Arabidopsis thaliana: one gene and its partners. The protein of the gene in region 1 interacts with the protein of each later gene in a pairwise test. Each region holds a gene or a part of one and is shown in the gene's direction. Other genes may lie near its edges. The genes, in order: PTR2, GCR1, AT3G21690 and AT5G17850.

Region 1 (4,756 bases):
TTATAAACAAAATGATCGTTTGAAGAATTAGAGCATATTTGTCATTTGTTATTTTGACTAATCCATCTCCATTCAAATTGTCCAATTATGTTTAGTCAAATGAGTTTGAAAATTTTGCCTAATTTAATCATCCAAATGAGCAAAAGAATAAAGCCACACATTACTTACTAATAATATTAAAGCCCACATTAAAATAATTTCTCACGTAAAAAACAAATACTTACACAAACCTATATAATCTAGACTCTACTTCACTTGTTTGCCCTAAACCATCTATCATCTCTCTTTCAATTCATCTACACCTTATTTTTATATTTCTCAAATACTTTTCGAGAAAATTATATACCCTTTTTAATATACGACGAATGAAATCGCAGGAAGATAATCTTCTACTTGTTCTTCTACTCGAGGGGATAAAAAATTACGGACTTAAGAGATGGGATAAGATACTAGCATCACTTCTTCTATCCCAGCGAAGTATCGCTAAATGTAAAAAAAAATTCTAATCTTTCGTTAAACGAAAGGTAAATTATTTTCTCGAAAAAATTTGTGTATAGAATTAAAGGTTTTCTTTAGTCAATAGCTAATCAATCTTATCATTTATTTTCTACTAGTTTCTTATTTGCACAATACATTTGAGAAAATTATGTTATGTTTTCAAGAGTTTTGGGTTTTTGTAGAGTATTAGATAAAATCAATATTTTCTCTCTTGAGACTAGTTTCTTCTTTGCACCATACATTTGTGTTCTTTTTCATTTTCTCAAAGCTGTTTGTTTTACCGAATTTTCTCTTGGGTTGTGGAGAATATTTTTTTTTTTTAGTTTTTATAACACCTTATCTTATATAAAAACAAAAGAGTTTGTTTTTACAAGGGATGATGGATGATGAATCTATAGATGGTCGTAGTACCACACTCTCTATGGACTCAAGTTGTGGAGAATCTTTTTTTTTTTAGTTTTTATAACACCTTATTTGATATAGAAACAAATGATTTTGTTCTTACAAGAGATGATGGATGATGAATCTATAGATGGTCGTACCACATTCTCTATGCACCCTATGAATCAAGTTGTGGAATCAATCAAAGTTGGCCACATATAGTTATGAAATGATTTTGTGATAAAAACACAAATTAATTTCTATGTGAATCACAAAGAAAATATATATATATATATATAATTCCCATTTGAAGTTTAAGCACAGACCTTAGAAAAATATGTAAACAAAGCCGATGTCTATAGTCCAATAAAAACAAATTTCGCCGGGAAAAGGAATATAAAAAATTTGTCACATTTACCAAAAAATAATAGGAGAGTTTATATAGTTTCAACGTACAATTAATGATCTAGGTTATCGAGTTTTAATTTCCATTTCTCCTAATTTTGCTGACTTGAGCTACATATTATTGAGCATTCTTGTTCTTTCAGGGTTTATAGAGAGATTGGCTGATAATTACTGTTTGTTATCTGAGTCCCCAAACGATTTACTGATATCAACAACGTATTGATGATGTATTGTTTTAGAAACACATATATGTAAAAAAAAAATTCTTGATTAGAGTGATATCAACAACTTGAGACATGGACAGGTAACAGGTTGATCCACAATTCTATCTTTACGTCATAATAATAACAAAAAATTCGTAAAAAGATGAGTTTTGTTAATTACTTCTCTTATTATAATCAAAGTTTTGATTTTTATTTTCCAATAAGTCGCCGGGAAAAGTAAAATAAAAAGCCGTCACGTCTCCGATAAATAATAGAGTATCGTTAGATAGGTAGCTTCAACGTAAGGAATCTAAATTGGTTCAGCTCAAAAAACGAAAACGATGGGTTCCATCGAAGAAGAAGCAAGACCTCTCATCGAAGAAGGTTTAATTTTACAGGTTTGTTCAATTTCAATTAATCACTTAGGTTAGCGAATTTTGATTTTACTCAATTCCAAAATCTTGACTTTAGATTGATCTTATGCATTTTCTTTCTGGGTTTATTGAGATCTTTTCTGGGCAATCACTGTTTTATCTAATTGATGATTCCAATGTTTGAATTTTGCAAGTAGATATAGATCAAAGTTTCGAGCTTTGATACAGTTATAGTTTAGTTAGCTAATCAAAAATGTTTTGTGAATTTGTTTTAAGTAGGAAGTGAAATTGTATGCTGAAGATGGTTCAGTGGACTTTAATGGAAACCCACCATTGAAGGAGAAAACAGGAAACTGGAAAGCTTGTCCTTTTATTCTTGGTAATGAATGTTGTGAGAGGCTAGCTTACTATGGTATTGCTGGGAATTTAATCACTTACCTCACCACTAAGCTTCACCAAGGAAATGTTTCTGCTGCTACAAACGTTACCACATGGCAAGGGACTTGTTATCTCACTCCTCTCATTGGAGCTGTTCTGGCTGATGCTTACTGGGGACGTTACTGGACCATCGCTTGTTTCTCCGGGATTTATTTCATCGTAAGCATTGCTTCTCTGTGTAATGTTTGGTTTGGTTTGTTTGCTCCTGATTACTGATAGGTTTTTGTATTTGTTTAGGGGATGTCTGCGTTAACTCTTTCAGCTTCAGTTCCGGCATTGAAGCCAGCGGAATGTATTGGTGACTTTTGTCCATCTGCAACGCCAGCTCAGTATGCGATGTTCTTTGGTGGGCTTTACCTGATCGCTCTTGGAACTGGAGGTATCAAACCGTGTGTCTCATCCTTCGGTGCCGATCAGTTTGATGACACGGACTCTCGGGAACGAGTTAGAAAAGCTTCGTTCTTTAACTGGTTTTACTTCTCCATCAATATTGGAGCACTTGTGTCATCTAGTCTTCTAGTTTGGATTCAAGAGAATCGCGGGTGGGGTTTAGGGTTTGGGATACCAACAGTGTTCATGGGACTAGCCATTGCAAGTTTCTTCTTTGGCACACCTCTTTATAGGTTTCAGAAACCTGGAGGAAGCCCTATAACTCGGATTTCCCAAGTCGTGGTTGCTTCGTTCCGGAAATCGTCTGTCAAAGTCCCTGAAGACGCCACACTTCTGTATGAAACTCAAGACAAGAACTCTGCTATTGCTGGAAGTAGAAAAATCGAGCATACCGATGATTGCCAGTAAATATCCGCTTCATTGCTTTCCAGTAATGTATAGCTTTACTTGGTTTAACAAGTTATTCTGGTATGATGCAGGTATCTTGACAAAGCCGCTGTTATCTCAGAAGAAGAATCGAAATCCGGAGATTATTCCAACTCGTGGAGACTATGCACGGTTACGCAAGTCGAAGAACTCAAGATTCTGATCCGAATGTTCCCAATCTGGGCTTCTGGTATCATTTTCTCAGCTGTATACGCACAAATGTCCACAATGTTTGTTCAACAAGGCCGAGCCATGAACTGCAAAATTGGATCATTCCAGCTTCCTCCTGCAGCACTCGGGACATTCGACACAGCAAGCGTCATCATCTGGGTGCCGCTCTACGACCGGTTCATCGTTCCCTTAGCAAGAAAGTTCACAGGAGTAGACAAAGGATTCACTGAGATACAAAGAATGGGAATTGGTCTGTTTGTCTCTGTTCTCTGTATGGCAGCTGCAGCTATCGTCGAAATCATCCGTCTCCATATGGCCAACGATCTTGGATTAGTCGAGTCAGGAGCCCCAGTTCCCATATCCGTCTTGTGGCAGATTCCACAGTACTTCATTCTCGGTGCAGCCGAAGTATTCTACTTCATCGGTCAGCTCGAGTTCTTCTACGACCAATCTCCAGATGCAATGAGAAGCTTGTGCAGTGCCTTGGCTCTTTTGACCAATGCACTTGGTAACTACTTGAGCTCGTTGATCCTCACGCTCGTGACTTATTTTACAACAAGAAATGGGCAAGAAGGTTGGATTTCGGATAATCTCAATTCAGGTCATCTCGATTACTTCTTCTGGCTCTTGGCTGGTCTTAGCCTTGTGAACATGGCGGTTTACTTCTTCTCTGCTGCTAGGTATAAGCAAAAGAAAGCTTCGTCGTAGTAATGCTGTTATCTATCTACTTTCATTACATACAAAAGTTTGTTTCTTTCAACTGTAACTGTCTCTGTATCAATAACAACATTGCTGTGTACTTTTCCTTTCAATTTCAAAAGTTTAAGTCGCATTTGCAATATTATAAACAATTCAGGGTTCGAATACTAAATTGAGAGAAATTGTCCATAGGCTTAGTAAATCAAATGGGCTTTTGGCCCATATCAAACGGGCACAAATATGACCCGGAGAAGAAGAATGTTCCGGGTCAATAAAATCGAAGAAGAAGAAGAGAGTATCGTTGTGAGGTTTGGGGATCGCGAAAATGGAGGTTCCAGGTTCATCGAAGAAGATGATCGCAACGCAAGAAGAGATGTCTGCAGCTAAAATAGCACTTGGATCTAGAGATATGTGCGCTCATCTCTTGATTCCGCTCAACAAATGTCGTCAGGCTGAGTTTTACCTTCCATGGAAATGTGAAGACGAGCGTCACGTTTATGAGAAGTGTGAATACGAGCTTGTTATGGAGAGAATGCTTGCGATGAAGAAGATCCGTGAAGAAGAAGCTTTGGCTAAACAGAATAAACTACAAGGAAACGCTGCTGTTCCTCTTATCCCTAAAACTGCTAATGCTTAGGATTCGATTCCTTCTCCAATTTGCCGATTCCAGATTCCGGTTAGTCTATAGTTTTTCGATTTCTTGTGTTTTGGTTGATTTGATTGAATTGGTTTGTTTCTTCTGCTACATGATCAGATCTTCGTGTTCTTCAA
Region 2 (4,581 bases), on another chromosome or scaffold:
TGTATGAAGATAATTCGTAATTGCTGTACTAATTAAATTTATGTAATTTTGTGTGGATTGACAAAATTCGTCTGTTTGGTTTTTGTACGTTTGTTGCCATTTAGTAGATGATATGTCATTGGGTAAATTAGCACACGAAAATCATTTAATATATATAATAAACAGTCATTATAACATGTATACGTAAATTATATTACGAATTGTGATAAGTCTAGCCACGGGGTTTACGACCAAAAGCAATACATAAATAATAATCAGGGAGATCCATGAACTTATATATACAAAGAGTGAGGACACGAGAAGCAATATGTGTCAATGTGTGGAAGAATGTCTCCATCATTAACCTAATTATATTATATTTTTATGTTTTATAATTTTTATGGTCTTCTCCGCTTGGTAGTTTTAGCCTTACAGCCATTAACTATCGTAAATTAGGGTACTAATACTTGTTATTTTTTTTGGTAAAAGGTGAAATTTTATACTATTTTTAGTTTGTGATAGAATTACAGAGAAAACTAGAAACAGATTAAAGCAATCTACGTAAATATAAAAACAACATTACAACTCAAGATGCAAAGGATCACTACTAAGTGGTCAAAGCCAAATTGCAAAAAGAAACACCGATTCCGAACCCGCGAAGCTCAGAAAATTGTGTGGTTGCCACAAAACCGAAGAACTGGAATCATCATCTTAATTGCCACGAGCAAAACTATCCAAGATCCGTCCACAAAACTTCAAGATAGAAGTCTACAACTTCTCTGAGAACTAACGCAAAAACGTAAAAGCAATCGTGGACTTCTATACTAACTCAACAAGATAGCAATGCCACTTAGACTTATTCGCCGCCTCTATTCAACATTCTGACAACCTAGCCAATGCTCGTTATTTGCTTATTATTAGTTCTTACGTACGTGTTTTATATTCGTTTTGAAAAACAAATAATTGTCGTTAATAATCAGCTAATAAATAGTATAAATTTATGACTTGCAAGTACAAGCTTGTTATATATATTACTTGCTTATATATAACTTATTTTTATTTGAATGTTTTGTGCTTAGGATGCTTGAAACTTTGAATGTTTTGTAATTTCTATTGTATATGAGATTTTTTTTCGATTCAAGTTGCAATTATTTTACAAGTAACAAGCAATATCAAATTATTTAGCAAGTAATAAGCCAAATCAAGTTATTTAGCAAATAATCATATTTTATATGTTATAACAAGTCCAAAATTCATTTACTTGAAAGGGGCAAAACGGGTCAGAAGGCCATGCCTAGGTATTTTTGTGCTCGGTGATTGATAGTATAGTCGTGTAGATAATTTATTTAAAAACAATAGTATACATAATTTGTTATAATATTATATATATATATATATATATATATATTTATTTTTATATAGAGTATACTATAAATAAGATTAATTATAAAATTAAATAGTATAATATTTACATGTGCATAACATAAGTTATTACCTAGTATAATTTAAATATTCATACATGTATAAAATTAAAATTTTCCAAAAATATGTGATAACTTGACATGTAAATAACATCATATAAATGTTTTTAATAATTAATATAGCATATATGAATTAATGCTTAACAAAATCATTGGGCTGGGCCTAAAGAAGTGCACTACGAGGAGTCCGGTTCAAAAGACACGACTTGACCCGACCGATCCGACCCGGGTAAGAGGTTAGCCCACCACGCAACGTCCGTCGGGGAAGATACCACGCGACGGAAACGACGAACACGAACAGCGGAAATCGTCAATTCAATCTCTCAGATCAGTTTTGGAATCACATATAACAATGTCGGCGGTTCTCACAGCCGGCGGAGGCTTAACTGCCGGGGATCGCAGCATTATTACGGCGATTAACACCGGCGCTTCGAGTCTCTCATTCGTCGGCTCAGCCTTCATCGTTCTCTGCTACTGCCTCTTCAAAGAACTTCGAAAATTCTCTTTCAAGCTCGTCTTCTACCTTGCTCTCTCTGTAAGTTTCCCGTTGTTGCCTTTCGCTGATTGTGCTAGATCTAGGATTATGTACTGTTTTGCTTCCTTCTTCTTCGATTATTCTCACTGTGAATTGTTACATCGCTAAGACGTTAAGTTCCATTGCGTTCTGAGATGAGTAGTGAGGGTTCGAGCTCTATTGCTGACTAATGGCAATGTTTTTAATTGTTGCAGGATATGCTTTGCAGTTTCTTCCTAATCGTTGGGTATGTTTATCTACTACTATTGGTTCTGGTGAATCTTGTTGAGATTATTTTGATAAGATGATTGTTACATCTTGATCACTGTAGGGATCCTTCAAAGGGGTTCATTTGTTACGCACAAGGCTACACTACTCATTTCTTCTGCGTTGCTTCGTTCTTGTGGACAACTACAATTGCTTTCACTCTTCATCGTACTGTTGTCAAGCATAAAACTGATGTGGAGGATTTGGAAGCAATGTTTCATTTGTATGTATGGGGTATGTAAAATGATACTCGTGGGTTTCGGTTCTCAATTGTTACTATATCCACCTAGGGTTAAGGATTAGAATGTGTTAGTATCTTCTTTGGTGATTTAGTAAGACTCTGATTTTAGTTACTTTTCTCAGGGACTTCCTTGGTTGTGACTGTCATACGTTCTTTTGGTAACAACCACTCACATTTGGGGCCATGGTGCTGGACGCAAACTGGTCTTAAGGGAAAGGCAAGTGAGAATGCTTAGTTGAGCATAAAGATTTCAATGCCTATCAAAAGGCATTTGAACTTTTTTGTTGCAACGCTGGGCCAGATGAATGTAGACTAGTATTTTATTCTTCGTTACTGGAACTCATATCACCTCTTGAATTTTGCAGGCTGTTCATTTTTTAACTTTCTACGCTCCTCTTTGGGGAGCCATTCTTTACAATGGGTTTACTTACTTCCAAGTGATACGGATGCTAAGAAATGCTAGACGTGTATGTAACTCTCTCATCTCTAATAACATTGTCTTCTGAAAGTAGTTCACAAACGTTACTGATACACTTGGCTGTGTGCTGAAATGGCAATGTTAATTTCAGATGGCAGTTGGAATGTCAGACCGAGTCGATCAATTTGATAATAGAGCAGAGTTAAAGGTCTGTCTTTATTGCCAATACTAGTTCTGTATCATGTGGCTGGATTTCATCATTAAAACCTCACTGCTTGTTTCCTGAAACCACAGGTGTTGAACAGATGGGGATACTATCCACTCATTCTAATAGGATCATGGGCATTCGGCACTATTAACCGTATCCATGATTTCATCGAGCCAGGGCATAAGATCTTCTGGCTCTCAGTTCTTGACGTTGGGACAGCTGCACTAATGGTAGCAAACCTATCAAATAAATAAGTTATAAAATTCGCCATAGATCATCTTTGCTCTTCCCGAGTCGATGTTCTGAATGTTGTATTTTCAGGGCTTGTTCAATTCAATAGCCTATGGTTTCAACAGCTCAGTGCGTCGAGCAATCCATGAGAGACTGGAGCTGTAAGTCACCACCGATCTCTTTGGTTTGCTATATTATTCCCAATAATCAATGAAGCTTGATTTTTATGAAACCCTTGGTCTGCTAGATTCTTGCCAGAACGGCTATATCGATGGCTTCCAAGCAATTTCAGACCAAAAAACCATCTGATTCTACATCAGCAACAACAACAGCGAAGCGAAATGGTATCACTCAAGACCGAGGACCAGCAATGACACTAACTTTCAACTAATACATTGGACCGATAACAAGAAGGCGGCGATGATAATAGCGTTTGGATGGAGAGATTGGTAAGTTTCCTCTATGATTGTTTTGTCTTTAATTTCCGTTTACATGGATCAGTAAGTGTGTTTTGTTTTGTGTTTCTCTCTTAGATATGGTGAAGGGGGGTGCACAACAGGTTGTCAATGTATATGAAACATTCTTTGGGAACACGAACTTAACAATTTATTTATTTTTGTATGAACTTTTTTATTGTGAGGTCTTCTGATCTTGATTTGAAATTAACGAACTTGGAGTTCTTGGACGACAATGTTGAAGAGTTTTGTTACGTAAGTCATATGAAAATACTATCACTTAAACCGGCGCCGTTTCTAAAGAGGAATTACAAAATTCGTATCAATCTTCAAAACCCTAGAGATCACCGCGATTTCTTTCTCCCCAAGACTGAACGACTCTGTCTTCAAACTCGGGTGGGGATTGAGATGGGTTTGTCTTTTCGTCTAACAGTGATCCAACAGTGGAGAAAGAAGAAAAGAAGACGAAGCCAAGCACTACTGGAGATTCCAACGGATGTGGTGACAGAGATTCTTACGAGATTCCCTGTTAAAACCCTAATGGATTCAAGTGCGTCTCAAAGCTCTGGTCATCTATCATACGCTCTCCATAGTCCATACTTTACCAGTCGTTTCATTAAGGTCCCATCTCAACGAATTTACATTTGTGTATCACATTTCGAGGACTACCGTCCCTCTAAAATCCTATCATTAGCTCCATCCGCTACTAGTCCATCTTCCTCCTTTGTTGTTGACCATCCGAGATAGGGGAGGCAAGATCTTACAAAAACTTAGTGGCTTCATCTGC
Region 3 (6,125 bases), on another chromosome or scaffold:
TTTTAAACTTTATAAACTCGTTCTAATTTGTCTTTTCCGTTTAAGGCTTTTTCGTACGTTTTGCAAATAGCTAAACTTTTGAAAGGAAAAAGTAACCTCGCGTTTTTCTCATTTATATTGCACAGAATATAGATACAAGTTGCAGCTATTACTGATAAAACGTAGCTACTTTTTTGGTTGGGTTTATTTGAGCCAAATAACTTCATTAAAAGCTGTAGTACCAAGTTTGGGTCTATCATTTACACTGCTATTGTCTTTGCTATATGACTCGAATCTGATACATTCGATTTCTAAAGATTATATCTAATTTTTAAGCGAATTAAACTTTTGCAAGCTTGGTTTTGATCTCTACTATTCTATTGACTAGAGAAGATGTCATAGTTGGGTGTAGAATAAGGTATTGAACTGACTTGCTTTTATTGATTCATTAACTATGGTATTTATACACAATGATCTCTATCAAGAGATAAACATAAATCCCTAAAATATAGGTTAGAAACTCTATCATCAAAGATATTGTACTAATCCTAATCGGATTACACATATCTCCAATAGAGTTGATATCTATTAACGGCAAAAGGAGCTAAGCTGCCATGATGACCCATGAAGTATATGCCTGCATGCTAATACGCAGAAAAACATTGAATGTGAAAGTGGCAATTATTCGAACACTCAAATTTTTTTATCTTCCTAAAATCGTGCTCGTGAAGATTTTTCAAAACAACCGATATAACCATTGGTGTTTAGTTGTTTACCTTTCTTTTTATTGCATACGATAGCCCATTCTTAGGAATTAAACCATGGGGGCAACTGGCAAGCATTTATAATCATTGATGTTACTTTAATTTTCATTTAATATGAATATTAAACGTAGTAGCTATATCATTGGGTTGGAATTAATGACTGAGAAAGAATGAATGAAAGAGAGAAACGTGTACTCGCAGTAGACCATATAACCATTGGTGAACAATTTTATTTGGAATCGTATCCATAAATATCATTTTTATACTAGTACGCTTGCTTTTACGACTACTATACCTTGTGTGGGCGGACCAACAATTTAAGAAGGGGGTGTGGGTGTAACTGGCCCGGTAAACCATAATTTTGTTTTGGCCATGTACAAAATGAGTTTTTGGCATACGGTGTTTTGTTGTATTTGAAGATCCCACTCAATATCATTTTTTTTTCCCCAATTTGATTAATCATTTGCTTTCTTGAAAGATTATTTTCCTTATAAGGATAAGAATAAACAGTTTCCTTTTTCATGGAACAAATTTTTCATGTTTCAAAGATATTTTCATTTTGTCTGAAGTATCAAAACAGTTTTACATTATTATTTGTCTTTTTCTGTTCAAAAAATTTAAGCAAATTAGTATATAATAAATAAACAGATTTGTGTATAGTATTGAAACCTATATCCATGAGCAAATGTGTGGTATATAAATTAGATAACAATTCTTTTTTGACATCATATAAATTAAATAACATTGAATTTGAAATTAATCACATTTTTAAAATGTGATTGTACGTTATTTATTCTTTAAAATTATGAATACTAATTAACCAATATATGTCATCGAAATAACTCAAAATATTGTAAAGAAAACTATTTGCATTTTACATATAGATATCTTGTAAAGTTAATTACGATATCCATAGAAATGTTATACAATCTTTGACTAAAAACGAAAGAAAGAATTCTAATAATTAATAACCTTTGGTGTTTTTAATGAGAGACGTGGACTCTCTCGGTAGAAATAATACAATGATTAACATACAAATTTGTAACTATCATTAGCCGTCACTCGCCACCCTCGATAGGACCTATATACACTTATACACAACACTAGCCACACACATCCTCAAGCGATAACACCACAAACAAAACAACAAACCAAAAAAAAAAAAAAGAGAGAGAGAGAGAGCAAATCTCCATCATCATCATGGACTCGTCTCCAAACGACGGCGTACACCAACCGCTTCTCCATCCTCAACCATCTCCATCTCCGCCGGAGTCAACCAACGGCGAGCTAGAAACTGTCCTCTCCGACGTAGAAACTCCTCTGTTTCTCCGCCTACGTAAAGCCACCATAATCGAATCAAAGCTTCTCTTTAACCTCGCTGCACCAGCCGTCATCGTCTACATGATTAACTACCTCATGTCCATGTCTACTCAAATCTTCTCCGGCCATCTCGGTAACCTCGAACTCGCCGCCGCTTCTCTTGGTAACACCGGTATTCAAGTCTTCGCTTACGGTCTCATGGTAACAACCAAAAACTCCTCTTCTTGTATATATTTTTTGTATGAATGTTACGTTTTATATCATTTTCGTCTATATGCTATGTTTTTTTTCACATCTTTAAAATTCGAGTTTTTTTCGATGATAGCTAGGCATGGGGAGTGCAGTGGAGACGTTATGTGGTCAAGCGTACGGTGGTAGAAAATACGAGATGCTTGGAGTTTATCTCCAAAGATCAACCGTATTACTAACACTCACCGGCCTCCTCCTTACTTTAATCTACGTTTTCTCCGAACCAATCCTTCTCTTCCTCGGTGAATCTCCCGCAATCGCTTCGGCCGCATCGCTCTTCGTCTACGGTCTTATCCCTCAAATCTTTGCCTACGCAGCGAACTTTCCAATACAAAAATTTCTCCAATCACAAAGCATAGTAGCTCCAAGTGCTTATATCTCAACGGCTACGCTCTTTGTTCACCTTCTTTTAAGTTGGCTCGCGGTTTACAAGCTTGGTATGGGACTTCTTGGTGCGTCGCTTGTGCTTAGCTTGTCGTGGTGGATTATAGTCGTGGCTCAGTTTGTTTATATTGTGACGAGTGAGAGGTGTCGTGAGACGTGGAGAGGTTTTAGTGTTCAAGCTTTCTCGGGTTTGTGGAGTTTCTTTAAACTCTCCGCCGCTTCTGCCGTGATGCTTTGCCTTGAGACTTGGTATTTTCAGATTCTCGTTCTTCTTGCCGGACTTCTCGAGAATCCTGAACTTGCTCTTGATTCACTCTCTATTTGGTAAGTCCTATTTTTAGTCAAACTCAATTTAATTATTTCCTTTAAAATTTATTTTTACTAGTTAATTTCGTTTACTAAATTAATTTCACCTATTGACCATAAAAAATAATAATTTAAGTTTATCTATTCTAGTGTTTTTGCCTCTTTGGTTTCCATTTTACCTATTCTAGTCTAATTTGTCTTCCACATGATATTTTATTTATGTTTTATCATAGGTAGTAGTTATTGGTTTCTACAAGAAAACACTTTTTTATATATCCTGAAACTCCACGTGAATATGTATGATTATAGACTTTTCCATGAATTTTTCTAGTAATGATTCGACAAAACTTTTAGTATTATTATTATTCGATATGAAAAGCATAGAACAAAACTTTTTGTAGGGAGTACAAAGCAAAGTTTGGTTGTAGATACTAGATATGAAAGTTAAGTTAATGGCGAACAAATTTGACACTTCTTCCGCTACAGACAATCTATGGTCACATCACATTTCTTCTTTTCAGTCTTCTCGTTTTGGTTTTCTTTGGAATTTGTTTTTGTCTTCTTCTTAAGCAGTAGAATTTAACTTTAACAATTTCTGTATGACCATATGAAACTATCTCATATGGAATCGAATAAAACATTATTTCTTCGTCCAATCTGCATCTACTTCTTTATTTTGTCGAAGATATTATACAATATTCTTCTAGTACTAATTAGTTTAAGATTTATCTGAGTCGTAAGTACTAGATTTTTTAGGTTTTCCAAAAGTTCTCTTTCCTCTGTTACCAAACAGAAGCAGCCACCAAATTTAGGTAGTTGCCCCAAATCAGTATGGAATTCCCATCTTTATAATATGATATCTTTGATTTTCATGTCAAGTCAAAAGTTACAATTTTAAAATGTTGTAAAAACATTACAAGCAACAATGGTTTCATACTAGCTTTTGATAGTGTACGATATTAAATTATTTGTTTTTGTGTTACAGCATGACGATTTCAGGGTGGGTGTTCATGATATCTGTTGGATTCAATGCAGCGATAAGGTCTGTTTTGTCCCAACTCACCACTTGCATGATCGTTTTCACTAAATTTAAATCATATAAAATAGAAAACGTCTCTATCCAATTTACCTACCCCCATAAAAATATGTGGATTCTTACATTTTACACACTTAAATAATGCTAAATCATACTGAACCATAAGCTCTTTTTCTCCTATTAAATCTGATGAAGTGTGACAAAAATTGTGTTATGATGTTGATACAGTGTAAGAGTGAGCAATGAACTTGGAGCTGGGAACCCTAAATCAGCAGCTTTTTCTGTGATCATCGTTAACATTTATTCGTTAATCACTTGTGTGATCCTAGCCATTGTTATTTTAGCGTGCCGCGATGTTTTAAGCTATGCTTTCACTGAGGGTAAAGAAGTCTCGGACGCTGTTTCTGATCTCTGTCCGCTTCTTGCCGTAACACTTGTCCTTAACGGAATCCAACCTGTCCTCTCTGGTAAACCCTTCTGATCGATACACCGCAATTTCGCAAACCGAATAAGCGAAGATTTTTTTTTTTTTTTTGAACAATTGGGAAAATTTTATTATAGGTGTGGCGGTTGGATGCGGTTGGCAAACGTTTGTGGCGAAGGTTAACGTTGGATGTTACTACATTATTGGAATTCCTCTTGGGGCTCTCTTTGGGTTTTACTTTAACTTCGGTGCCAAGGCAAGATAGTTTTCTTAACTTTCATTTTAATTAGTTACCATTATTCTTGTATTGAATATTAGAATAACAAATTTAAGGCTAATGATGCTATAGGGTATATGGACGGGGATGATCGGTGGTACGGTTATACAAACGTTTATTTTGGCGTGGGTCACGTTTAGAACAGATTGGACAAAAGAAGTAAGTTTGCTAAACTTTAAGCTGCCCTGTAGGCGCTAAGTGTTTACGTAAATATTTTCATTGATTTGATAGTTATTTTAATTTGTTTCAGGTGGAAGAAGCTTCCAAAAGGTTGGACAAATGGAGCAACAAGAAACAAGAAGTTGTTCCTGAATGATGCAGGTTGATGAAAGTTTGGTATCCAAGGAACCGATTAGATTCATCGGTAAACCGATGCAAATGCTCAAAGTAACATGTGAGCTGGTAAAAAAGGATATGGATCAACCTTTTAAACTTCTACAACTCAATTTTAAGTTTTTTGTGTTCTTGTTTAAAATGTTAGAGGTAGGTTATGTATTTTTGTATGCCAAGATTATAATAGTTACTGCGTTATTTTTTATTGATTTATATATATATGCATGTCTTTGATTGGATAGATCTTAGTTATTTTTGTTACTGAGTTTTTCTTTAGTTTAATGATATTTTGTTAGACTGGAATGCAATTAAAGTTTCTCTCTTTCAGTATGATGCATTTTTGTTGTTGTTGAGAATGTGAAGGAAAATAAGAACTGGACTTCCAACAAAATGGGCAGGGTGATCTATGGGCCTAATATATGGGCCTAAGTAAACTGAAATTACTATACATAAAACAAAGTTTTCACATCATAAAATCAGTCCAGCTCATTTGCGTTGAGGACTTGAGGCACAGAGAAAATTTGGAGTTTTTTTTTGTCAAAGGAGAAATTTTGGAGTTGATGATTCGATATCTGACATAGTTATAAATGTGTATTATCTTGCTCTAACTTTGCTTTAGTTAGTGGCAAAATTTTGATGTAAACAAAAGTAAAATAATCGCCTACTTAACGCATCTATGACATTTTAATATAAGCACTATTTTCATTCGTGTTTAATAAAAAATAACGAAAACGATTGTAAGAACTTCTAAATATTCTTATAAACTACTAGACGAGATGTTATATTTGTTCCATAAAGTTAGAGAAAGGAGCGATTAAATTTCCGTTACACTTGATGTAAACACGTTTTTTCGAATAAATTTTACATTTTATTCAAAAAAAAGAAAAAAAAAAAAGTAAAGAAGAAAAATTCTTGATACTTTTTCTTTTCATTATTCTCATTATAAACCATACAACGAAAAAGGATATAAATAGTAAATACTTGGCCAAGCCAATAATGGCCGTCACGTTGTATCTGTGCCATTTTCTGTCTACACATTTAAGTCTTATTTAT
Region 4 (4,700 bases), on another chromosome or scaffold:
GGGGAAGCAATCCGATGTCCGCCAACAGAACTCGATTTAACCGGAAATGTAGCCGGAAAAGCAAAATCTAAAGCGGAATTCATTATCGGCTACAATGGAATTATGAAATTGAGACGAAACTACTGAGAATCGAAAGATGGAAAATTCGAAATCGAAAAGAGATTGGAGAAGGTAGGTGATAACTTTGGAGGGATCGCCGTTCATATGTCTCAGTTTTCGTTGAGGTCCCATAACCGGACTATACCGGTAAGATATCCGGGTATCTAAACCGAGCCCATAAACATCAAAAAGGATGGGACGTGACAGTAATCAATAAATTTGAATTGGACAAATGGATCCATAAAAAAGATTATGGGCCAACTTTATCATAATGAATGCCCATCATCAATTATTTTTGGGACATCTTTTTGGAGTCAGCCTCTTGTCTAAAGGTGGACGTCGGCTAAAAGTGTTCACTTTTAAGATATTTCAGCTCCAATTAAAAAGAGTGTTTTTAAAAAAACAATCAGACACTAGTCTACAACTTTATATGTTAAGGCATAAGTTTAAATGATAGCTAACAATATATAGATTAAAGGATTTGTTGGTTTGATGTTAGATAGTATCTGATCTCCATGAGTAAACGAAGATTTTTATATCAACTAGAAAAGGTAAAAACAAATATCACCGTCGAAGGGGACGTACACGTACGTGCTGATTCTTGTGTTAATGGATCGCTTCTACTCACTTAGCTCTCAAGCAATGAATAACATCACAAAATAAATGCAAAGATGTAAACAAAAGTAAAGAAAAACAAAACGCGTTTGAAGACCGCGTTGCTCTAAATGACTCGGTACTTTTTTAATATTTGCAATTCACACTCGTAATAAGTCCTCTTATCTTTATATTTTGTTCGATTTTATTTGAAAAATTCCCTAAATATTTTTACAAAAATCGTGTCCTAAATCCTAATCCTTCGACCGACTTTCTCGTTTTAGTAGTAAAAGTCGACCACACTTTTTTTTCTTTTCTTTATTCAGTCGACCTCATTATACAATTATCTTTGTGTGACTGTGTGGAGTATACTATTAGTTTCCTCATTATTAACTTTATCTTGTCACACTATACTTTCCTTTTATATTAGCTTCTTCTACTTGTTTCTTTCTGTCTTTTCTTTTTGGGAACTTTCTCTTTATGATCGTGGCTGTCTCAATCTATTTGGAAATTCAATATCCATGTATACTTATTTCTTAAAATACGTTCGAATTAAGATGTTTCAGCTTATATAAAGGAAGTAATTTTGAGCTAATAGAAAGCCAAATTATTGAATTAATTTTCTCTTAATTACATTTCAAGTTATTCTGCCTTGTGTAAACTGGAAGTAACAGAATAAAGGCGGTGGTTGTGGTTTATACTCAATTACCAATAACTATTTCACAACTAATAAAATTAGATTAAAATGACTGTTATAGATTAGAGTTTTACTTGTTGGAATAAACAAACATCAATTCAGTACTGACCACATCCTTTAAATTAGTTTCTTATATGTAAGTTAACCTTAAACCGGTAACTGATTACGAACCAAACCGGAATATTTATATTATTTTTTCCATAGTTAGTGGCTTAAGGAATCAGCACTAAATACTAAATATTGCTGGGTCAGCTCCTTATAGTAATATTTAATTTGTGGAAAAAGCTTCTAAATTTATGTATCCTTTCGCTAACCCTCCCTCCTTCGTCTTCCTATTCTTCGCATACGTAATGGAAAGAGAAAATGACGCACAGTTCATCGTGAAGCCGACACATAAGCCATTTCCAAAACCCAAATCACCCTAACCCCAAAACGGCAATGACAAAGTGACAAACTTTTTTCAGATTCTTTATATAAAAAAATAGTATTCCTCAATCCTCTGTTTTTTTTTGTCTCTGACGTTTGTCTTCGTCAGGTCTTGTTAAAGTGTTTGTTTTGTGTGTTTGTGGGTGTTTTCTTCGCTTCGTCTCCTTTAAAAGCTTCGTTTCGAAATTCGATCCCTTTTTTGCTTTTTCATCTTCCAGATATTAAAAAAGGTCAGTGCTTTATCTTTCTCTTTCCGCGTATAGTTCGTGTTTATCTAATCTGTTTTCTTCATGATCTGTTCTTATGGAGTAAACCCATTTATAGATTCTCAACAATAAACCCAAATATCTTCTTTTTCAATTTGACTCTCTGATAAAAAACCAAACTTTATCTGTTTCTTCGTTTGCTCTGTTCTGATTTGTTTCTTTTCGTTTTTTGTTGAGTTTCCAGGTCTTAGCTGATTGATGGGATTTTCATTTTCTTCAAACCGTTTTGGTTACTTGACAGTCACATTCCTTCTCGTTATCTCTTGTCTTCTGTTGGGTTTCTTCACGAATCCTGTTGATTCAAGTGCTCTAAGACCTAAATCAGAGCATGATTGTAGTGCCCTGAAGCACTTTCATGACTACAAATCAAAGTGTGCTTACCTGAAATCGATTGATCCATGTGCTAGTCAAGGTTTCTTCGATTACCTCTCTTTTCTCTACTGTAATTTCGAAGGTTTCCCAATTTTGGGTCAGTTTCTTCTCTTCCTCTGGTTGCTTCTCTTGTTCTATCTATTGGGTCATACGGCCTCTGAGTACTTTTGTTCATCTCTTGAAAGTCTCTCAAAGCTGCTTAATTTGTCACCAACTGTTGCTGGTGTTACTCTTTTGTCGCTTGGTAATGGTGCTCCTGATTTGTTTGCAAGTTTGGTCTCTTTCATGGGAGAATCTAAAGGTACTTATGATGTTGGTCTCAACACTGTTGTGGGAGGTTCTGGTTTTGTTACCTGTGTTGTTGTTGGGATCATTAGCATTTCGTTGCATAAGAGACGTGTGAGGATTGAGAGAGCTGCGTTTATAAGAGACATTTGCTTCTTCTGTGCTGCTATTGGTTCTTTGGCTTTGATTTTGGTCTATGGAAAGATCAATTTCTGGGGTGCTCTTGGGTTTTGTTCATTGTATGCTGTTTATGTTGCCTTTGTGGTTCTCTCTTGGAGATTTGGTGGAGATCAAGGTGCTGAATCTGATCTTGAGTCAATCCATAAGCGTGGTAGTCTTAGTGAACCAATCTTGCAGAGAGACGGTCTTGAGGAAATTGAAGATGGTGTTGTTAATGGAGAGCATCAGATTGTTGATGATGATGATGATCACCAGAGATATTATTACTGGAAAAGATTGGTCATTTGGGCTATCACTCTGCCTCTCAACTTGCCAAGGATATTAACAATTCCTGTAGTGAGTGAAGACAAATGGTCTAAACCATTAGCTGTTGCCTCGGTCACATTTGCCCCGGTTCTGTTGTCGTTTTTATGGAACTGGAAGCGGAAACCGACGAGTTTTGAGGCGGGGGTTGTTTATCTCATCGGGTGTTTGATCGGTATAGCTCTTGGTTTCATTGCAGGAGCCACGACGAAGAAATTAACCCCACCAAAGAAATGGTTGTTGCCTTGGTTAGCAGGAGGGTTTGTAATGAGCATGACATGGAGTTACATATCAGCACAAGAGCTAGTTGCGCTTTTGACCTCACTAGGATACATTTTCGGTGTAAGCCCTTCGATCTTAGGCTTAACGGTCCTCGCTTGGGGTAATTCAATTGGAGATCTAATAACCAACTTGACAATGGCGCTACACGATGGGAACGAAGGAGCTCAAGTGGCTGTATCGGGATGTTACGCCGGTCCGATCTTCAATACATTGTTTGCTCTCGGGATATCGCTTGTGGGATGTGCATGGGAGGCTTATCCGTTGAGCATTGTGATTAAGACAGATCCTCGTTTGTTGGAGAGTCTTGGATTTCTGGTCGCAGGACTGGTATGGTCGTTCTTGGTTCTGTTTAGTAACCGTATGAGGCTTGGTGGTGTGATGGGCATAGGGCTTTTGGTTATTTACTTGGCTTCATTGTCTCTAAGAATTATGCAAACCGTTGGAGATGCTCACTAACTTTGATTTCAACTCATAGTCGTTTTACATAACATGGGTTTGTATAATCTTCTTCAAGTAAAAGGAATCGATTTTGTAATGTATAGATATATATATATGTATAACTTTATGTAGATTGTAACGTAGATTTTTCATAATATGATACAATTTCGGTTTCGTGGAGGAAATATACAAATCTATTGTAAATGTATGATTTGAAATCATTCTAATTCAAGTTGAAACAAGAAAAATCAAAAAGTCGTTTAAAATAAGGTTCGAAACCACCAATATTGATCTGAAGATTACTAGTTTCAATGATATCGCACAACATGCATAGCTTAGAATAATTTTTAGAGTAATGGAGTTCAAATTGAGTAGCTGGTTTTTTGATAGGTGTCAGATTCTCGACTAGTCAACAATCTCTGCTCATACATTCAAGTAAACACATACATATTATACTCCATGCAGTATAAGGATAATGTAAAAAAAAACCATCTCATATTAGATAAATTATCTAAGATAATATTTTTTTTGTTTTCAAAAATCTCTACGTTAATTGTATTTTCTTCTGCCAATATATTTGTTTATTTTCAATTGTGTATTTAGTTCCCAGTGTTGTGGGAGTTGTTTGAAGCGACAACGCTTGTCTCTTTTTGCCAATTTGCAATGAACTCAAGATAAGATGTGTTTTTTATTCCTAATCTCATCATGACTCGTGTGCATAATAATTTGGCACATTTTTCTTGTCTGCAAATTGTTTC

What was found.
Region 2: the proteins of PTR2 (region 1) and GCR1 interact in a protein complementation assay, tested with the Arabidopsis thaliana proteins (one large-scale study listed by BioGRID).
Region 3: the proteins of PTR2 (region 1) and AT3G21690 interact in a protein complementation assay, tested with the Arabidopsis thaliana proteins (one large-scale study listed by BioGRID).
Region 4: the proteins of PTR2 (region 1) and AT5G17850 interact in a protein complementation assay, tested with the Arabidopsis thaliana proteins (one large-scale study listed by BioGRID).

What each region holds. Positions count from the first base shown.
Region 1 is NC_003071.7:485,714-490,469, forward strand, and holds PTR2 (peptide transporter 2), read left to right. Parts: upstream 1-1,684; 5' UTR 1,685-1,828; coding exon 1,829-1,885; intron 1,886-2,140; coding exon 2,141-2,458; intron 2,459-2,536; coding exon 2,537-3,093; intron 3,094-3,168; coding exon 3,169-3,994; 3' UTR 3,995-4,228; downstream 4,229-4,756. Other genes in the region: AT2G02050 (NADH-ubiquinone oxidoreductase B18 subunit), read left to right, coding at 4,311-4,622. UniProt on the Arabidopsis thaliana protein: Peptide transporter. Mediates the transport of di- and tripeptides. High affinity, low capacity transporter. Can also transport histidine.
Region 2 is NC_003070.9:17,827,446-17,832,026, reverse strand, and holds GCR1 (G-protein-coupled receptor 1), read left to right. Parts: upstream 1-1,606; 5' UTR 1,607-1,812; coding exon 1,813-1,995; intron 1,996-2,189; coding exon 2,190-2,221; intron 2,222-2,305; coding exon 2,306-2,475; intron 2,476-2,604; coding exon 2,605-2,699; intron 2,700-2,847; coding exon 2,848-2,949; intron 2,950-3,051; coding exon 3,052-3,108; intron 3,109-3,194; coding exon 3,195-3,338; intron 3,339-3,429; coding exon 3,430-3,500; intron 3,501-3,586; coding exon 3,587-3,713; 3' UTR 3,714-3,788; exon of another isoform or gene 3,789-3,872; 3' UTR 3,873-4,074; downstream 4,075-4,581. UniProt on the Arabidopsis thaliana protein: Together with GPA1, may regulate the cell cycle via a signaling cascade that uses phosphatidylinositol-specific phospholipase C (PI-PLC) as an effector and inositol 1,4,5-trisphosphate(IP(3)) as a second messenger.
Region 3 is NC_003074.8:7,636,807-7,642,931, forward strand, and holds AT3G21690 (MATE efflux family protein), read left to right. Parts: upstream 1-1,777; 5' UTR 1,778-1,943; coding exon 1,944-2,264; intron 2,265-2,388; coding exon 2,389-3,020; intron 3,021-3,987; coding exon 3,988-4,044; intron 4,045-4,266; coding exon 4,267-4,505; intron 4,506-4,599; coding exon 4,600-4,718; intron 4,719-4,811; coding exon 4,812-4,898; intron 4,899-4,989; coding exon 4,990-5,055; 3' UTR 5,056-5,583; downstream 5,584-6,125.
Region 4 is NC_003076.8:5,896,973-5,901,672, forward strand, and holds AT5G17850 (Sodium/calcium exchanger family protein), read left to right. Parts: upstream 1-1,879; 5' UTR 1,880-2,046; intron 2,047-2,073; exon of another isoform or gene 2,074-2,266; 5' UTR 2,267-2,280; coding exon 2,281-3,960; 3' UTR 3,961-4,185; downstream 4,186-4,700. Other genes in the region: AT5G17840 (DnaJ/Hsp40 cysteine-rich domain superfamily protein), read right to left, coding at 1-83; AT5G17847 (uncharacterized protein), read left to right, coding at 1,687-1,815. UniProt on the Arabidopsis thaliana protein: Membrane-localized H(+)-dependent K(+) and Na(+) transporter.